2 separate regions of the Mus musculus genome follow, and region 2 is reported to be linked to region 1. Evidence: microRNA targets listed by miRTarBase, many of them from high-throughput screens and not tested one by one. Region 1 holds a microRNA gene; the other region holds the end of a gene's coding sequence.
The links. Region 1 holds the annotated microRNA mmu-miR-5133 (GCUGGAGCUGCGGCAGCGCAG, at 1,066-1,086, opposite strand). A microRNA usually pairs through its seed, bases 2 to 8, with sites in the 3' UTR of a target mRNA and lowers its output. Matches are read on the target gene's strand: a 7mer-m8 pairs with bases 2 to 8, a 7mer-A1 pairs with bases 2 to 7 and ends in A, and an 8mer does both.

Region 2: miRTarBase lists Svopl as a target of mmu-miR-5133. Seed matches in the 3' UTR shown: 7mer-A1 at 1,110-1,116.

The regions. Positions count from the first base shown.
Region 1 is chr9:62,121,500-62,124,580 of GRCm38, forward strand. Mir5133 (microRNA 5133) reads right to left here and starts at 1,095; the gene lies at 1,019-1,095. Glce (glucuronyl C5-epimerase) reads right to left here and starts at 1,110. Exons shown (of 5, transcript NM_033320.5): 1 at 986-1,110.
Region 2 is chr6:37,982,017-37,985,097 of GRCm38, reverse strand. Svopl (SV2 related protein homolog (rat)-like) reads left to right here. Exons shown (of 16, transcript NM_177200.4): 16 at 575-1,359. The coding sequence ends at 586. Among named protein-coding and RNA genes, the nearest start is that of Gm33494, 49 kb to the left of the region's middle.

The DNA of each region.
Region 1 (3,081 bases):
CGCACAGCCGCCCTACCCTCAGATCTAAACCCTCACTCAACAGTCAGGTATTCCAGACAACATGCTCAAGTCTGGTATCGCTCCTCTCCTCTCCTCCGGAGATCAGAGCTCCGGCGACACCAGCGCGTCCCCAAAGGTATCCTGGGGCAAAGAAAAGAAAACTGCAGAACAAGCCCACTGTGTCTCCAACTAGGCAACTGCCCCGATCAAGCGTCCAACGAAGAAGCACTGAGTTAAATCTCATCGAGAAAGAGAGAGAGACCAGATCGAGACCGTCAGATACCGAAAGCCACAAGCAGTGCCATGGGGTGGCTCCTGAAACCGGGTCTGGCACCCCTGGAGACCCAGAGACCGCTGAGCCGCGCCCACACGGCAAAATCACCCTCCTTGTCGCCCCGAAAAAGAATGGGGACCATCACGCACAGTTACCGCCCCCCTCTGGGCGAAGCAGAAACCCCAATACAAATGTTGGTCTCCCCATGCACGCTTCCCGCCCCCACCCACACCCACCCAGTCCGTTCCTTCCCGGGAGGGACACGGGCATCGTCTTATCACCCCATGGCGACCTTAAACAAACCCAAGTCTCTGGAACCCTGACATCCTCCTGCTTTACCCCAGGAATGCCAAGCGGACCCCTCTCCGCTCATAGGTCTCCCCGTGCCCTCCGGACAAGGCTAAACTGTATCCCAAGCCCCTCAACTGCACGGGATCGCCAGAAATGGTCTCCAAGTCCCAGAACCGCGCTATGCCAGCACCCGGGCTCTCAGGCAGGACACAGGACGCGCTCCCGCGACCCTAGAGACCCGGGACCGCCTGGGCAGCCACCCACCCCCACTCCAAAGCCAAAGAAGCCCCGAGACCCCAGCCCCCGCCGCGTCACCCAAGATCCCCGCACTCGGAACGCCGCGCATCCCCGGGAGCCGCCCCCGTCGCGAGCCCACTTGCCACGGCCGCCCCTCAGCCACGACACGACGAGCTCCCTCACCTGAGGCGCGTCGGCGGACGAGCGGCCCCCAGAGCCCTGAGGAAAACTGAAGCGAGCGGCAGAGACACGGCGGCCCAGGCCTGCGCTGCCGCAGCTCCAGCCTCTCGGCGAGGAAGCGCTCGTGTGAGGAGAGCCCGCCCGCTCGGCGCGCTACTGGGGAGCCGAGCCGCCGCCGTGCCCGCGGCTCTTCCCGCGAGATCCCAGCCACGGTAAGGGGCGAGGCCATGCCGGGGAGGAGAGGGCGGGACGGAGGCTCTTCGAATGGCAGCTCCGTCAGCCTGTTAGATTCGGTGTAGAAGGCGGGGTCACCAAGAGGAGGGGCCATATTAAGGGGAGGAGCTATGATGAGGGGGCGGAGAGTCCTCGAATGACAGTTCCAAAAAACCAATCAACGGTGGCAGCGCAGAAGGCGGGACTCGCATTCTCCTGTGACCAATTGCAAAAGAGTAGAGCTAATTCTCCCCGCCTATCATCAATAAATTGCGGGCGAAGGTGTTGCTGACCCGATGTCAGTTTGCTACCTGGGCAGTTGCAGAGGTACTTTAGATGACGTGGTTTGGGCAAAGTTTGGTCCTCTTCGGCCGCCGTAGAGACACTTAGCGGAGAAGCTGAACTAAATAGTGCTTAAACCGAAGAGCTGTCCGTGCGTTTTCACTGCTCTCTGAAGTGAACAGGGAGGTCCCATCTGCCAGCCTGAAGACTTACAGCCTCACTTTACTCACTTCGGTCTCCTCCTTTAGTGTAGCTTTCTCCCATTTCGGACTCTCTTCCGTTTTTATTTCAAACGGCGATGATATCGTCACGGGTGCTTTAAGCTCCAACCCAGTTTATCTGGTCCAACAAAGGACCTTTCTAATTCATTTGTGCGTTCTACTTAAAGTCTTCCACAAAGATGAAGAACGAAATCTCAAACGAGTGCTAACCTAACAAACCCGAGAACTTGTATCTTTACAGACCATAGGGCCCAGTAATGTTTAGCACAGGTAGGGTATAGAGCATTCAATAAATCTAAAAGGAAGGAATGGAAACTGTGGTGCTTATCTGTACTGGCTTCAGAAACTGGGCTTTCCTAGCCTTTCCCATTCCCCCCTCACATTTAAGTCCCTTCACTCATTATTATGCCTGCCCTGTAGCTTTCCTTCATCTTCCCCTAGTCTCCCTTGCCCAACACAAAAAGTAGCCTTACTCTTTCTCAAGGTTAACTCCTGCCCTTGTGCACTGGACCTCAGCCAGGCCCAGACTCAGTCAGCTCCCCCACCCCCACCCCCACCCCCATTATCAATTTTTTAGCCCCTTTATCCCCAGAACACACTCATTATCCCCTGTTATTTGAACAGAACACAACTACCCTGCCGGTTCTATCCACTCGAGCTGCCCTGTCCTGAGAATCCCACGTCTTGAGAAAATTAAAGTGTATTGTGGTCCCCACCTTCTCATCCCTTATTTCCCTGCTACAATACTGCGTTTGCCCACACAATCTGCTGCTCTCCCAACAGTTTCAAAAGACCTCTCTCCTACTAGACAAATGGTCTCTTTGGTGGGACTTTTTCCCCAATGGCTTCTCGGAGGTTCATTGACAACGCTCAGGATGTCTTCCTTTAGCACCTGCCTAACTGTGTTCTTTTCATTCTTTAGCTACTTTTTTTTTAAAGTCCCCTCTCCTAGTTTGAAAATGGTTGAATATTGATGACTCCTTATCTTATTGCACACCTTGTGCATAATAAGAAAAATGTCCACACACCACTGCACACTCTGAGAGCCACAAATTGGTTCAGACAAAAGCTGTTAGAAAAATCCAGAGGGAAGAGAGGCAGCTCTGAAGCTTGAGCTGGGTGGTAAAATACTAGGATGGCCCATATAAATTAAAGGCAGAAATGGAAGCTTTTCAGAGAAAATAATCTAAACCAGAGCAATGATAAAAAGCATGTGAGCTGAGCCAGGCTGCAGGTTGGATGGCTCAGTAAATAGATTCCCCCATCTGGGGTGGGGGTGGGGGGCAAGATCAGAAAGGAGCCAGATAGTGAAAGGCTTTGACTACCAAGCCACAGTAATTGGACTTGATTTGGTGTTAAATGGGAAACCCGAACAAATTCAAA
Region 2 (3,081 bases), not on the chromosome of region 1:
AGACTTGGCATTGGGGCATGGTGAACCTTTAACATGTTGGTTCAATACATACACACACACACACCCTGGCCATTGCATGGTGGTGTCTTTAGGAAAATTAAAGGTACACATATAGATACATACATAGCTCACCGCTGTGATAATATTCCTACGGACAAGCACATCTTTTTAAAAACAAGAAAACAGTAATTTGACTGAATAAACCAACCTGGTCAATAGCTTAGTGCTGAGTCACTTAAAAAACTCAATCATTAAAGAACGTGTTTATAGTGCCAGGCATGGTGGTGCACAGCTTTGATCCCAGCATTCAGGAGGCAGGGGCAGGTGATGTGAGTTCAAGGCCAGCCTGGTCTACACAGAGAGATCCAACACAGCCAAGACTACACAGAAAAAAGATGATGCTTGAAAAGAACCAAAAACCAAAACCAGAATGAGTATAGTGTGGACTTCTTTAGATATCTGTATTGCAACAACTTTAAATTATAAAGCTAGCATTGTAAATGATGTATATAATTCTCTGTAAGTTAAGAACAAAACCTTACCAACTAATTTCTTTCTTTTTTCTTTCCCATAGCAAATTAAATGAGGACCTGCAATACTAATGTGGAGAAAAGTATATTTGATCTTCACTGAGTTATTATTTTTAATGGGTTTATTTCTGCACGTGGTAATTAAGAAAGCAAGTTATATTAAGGCAATGAAGGCACACACCAAGAATGCAGTGGGGTTCTTCCTTAGGGAACAATATATACAAGCCTCTTATAGGATATCCTTAGACACATGTGGTTCATGCCTGAAATCCCAGCATATACAGGTTGAGGGGGCAGGATGACCAGGAGTTCAATATCCTCCTCAGTTGTAAAGTTAGTTTGAGGCTAGCCTGGGCTACATGAGATCTTGTCTACAAACATCAAAAGCCTACCTCCAAACCAATAAACCCTGAGATTGAATGGGGCCAGGAGAAGGTAAGGGTGGAGGATACACTTCTCATTTGGTATCAACAACTTTTTTTTTGTTTTTGTTTTTTGAGATAGGGTTTCTCTGTATATCCCTGGAACTCACTTTGTAGACCAGGAGGGCCTCGAACTCAGAAATCCACCTGCCTCTGCCTCCAGAGTGCTGGGATTAAAGGTGTGCACCATCATGCCCGGCGGTATCAACAACTATTTAACCTTAGACAAACACTTGGCATTGGCCCATATGGTCTGTGGCTGAAGGACAGAGATTCTGTAGCTAAGGCAAGAAATTAGACTGATTTTCACTGAATTTAAATCATGGTCTTGATAGTTTACAAAAAACCCCCACTTTATTCTGTACATAGCTAGCAAGAAGCTGGGAATAAAGTTACTTTTCTCCTTATGCCATTACTCTTTATTTTTTAAATCATAGGAGGGAATCACTGCTTCCCATGACGCATGTACAGCTCTCCTATAACATGCTTAACTTATATACTGTTTGCAGAGAACGTGATATATGGGGGGTGTTGGTTATGCAAGTTCTATTAGGAAAGACATGCTGTGGAAAGAAAACATCTAAAGCGTCTATATTTAGATTTTGTCTTTTGCTGTTCAGGCTTATTATGGAGGCCCACTAGGCTGGCTAAGGATCCCCTGCCCTCCTTGGCAAAAGATTGCAGCTGCAACCACAACTGCATACAAGAGGAAGCAAACAATTCCTGTTTGATCCACTCTATAACTGGCTTAAAGTTAGTTTCTTATAATAAAGGTGCAGTTATTAACACATTAGCAGTTTAAAGGACTGGGTCCAAGGCACCCGGTGGAAACCAAACACCTAATCCTATACAAAATGGCACAGTATGTATATCCTTCCTTATACTTCTGTCATCTCCAGGTCATTACAGCAATGCTATGTATAAAATAATAACAGAGATGCCTATGTATATTTAGTATAAACACATTCTCTTTTCTTTTTGTTTTTTTTGAGACAGTGTTTGTGTATAGTGTTTCTGGCTGTACTAACTCTATAGACCAGGCTAGCCTGAAATTCAGAGATCCATTTGCCTCTGCCTTCCAAGTAATGGGATTAAAAATTATCACTTTTTCCCAAATTTTATGACTAGTTGAATCCTGAATTTGAAATGCATAGATTGGCCCAGCTTGGTGGTGGCCTTTAATCCCAGAATTCACCAGGCAGAAGCAGATAAATCTGTGTTCAAAGCCAGCCTTTCTAGGACAGCCAGGGCTATATGCGACATAGACCCCCATCATAAAAACCAAACCAGTAACACATGAATTTGAAAGACTATGTTATAGGCTCTGAAAGGTATACATATGGGCTTTCTTACAAGCCTAAAAAATTAAAACAAATTCTTTCATTTAAAAATTTATTTCTAATTGACGGATAATTATACAGACTACTGCAGCATGGTGTAATATATAAATATATTAAGCTAGTTACCTTACCTATTATTTTTGTTCTTAAATTTTATTATTTAAATGCATTTTATACATGAAACATATTAATGATATTATTTTGAGAATCAAATACATAGAAAAATTTGTTCAACTTTAATACTCATATCCTTTCATACCCTAAAAATATCATTAATGAATATTTAATACTATTCAAAACTGAGGATCCTACATCTAATGTTGAATACTAAATTGTTTCAAAACATACAAAATATTCTTTGGAAATTAAGCATAGTAAAAGAACATAAAATATTAAAAATGAATCATTAAGAAATATATTCAAAAGCCCTTATATGATACCACCTAACATAAGTTAGAGGGTCTTTAAAACCTATTCTATATCTGTGTACATTGCCTTACAATCAGTTCACTCAAAAAAGATTATCAGTGTTTCTAGGAGAGAAATTATTTTATCAGTAAGTATATTTAAAAATTTTCCAAATAGCAAAAACTCTTTGAAGTTAAACATTAAGAAAATGCTAATTTCAAGCACAGTGAAAAAATTATCAATAATAGTCCCATGTTTGTAGGACACAATTTTAATATTTTCAACTGTTAATATTCAACAATTATTTTAAGATATATTTCTTTTTTTTTATGGTTTCAGGTGTTTATTGTAGAAATGCAGAGAGGGAGAACAGTAGAGAAG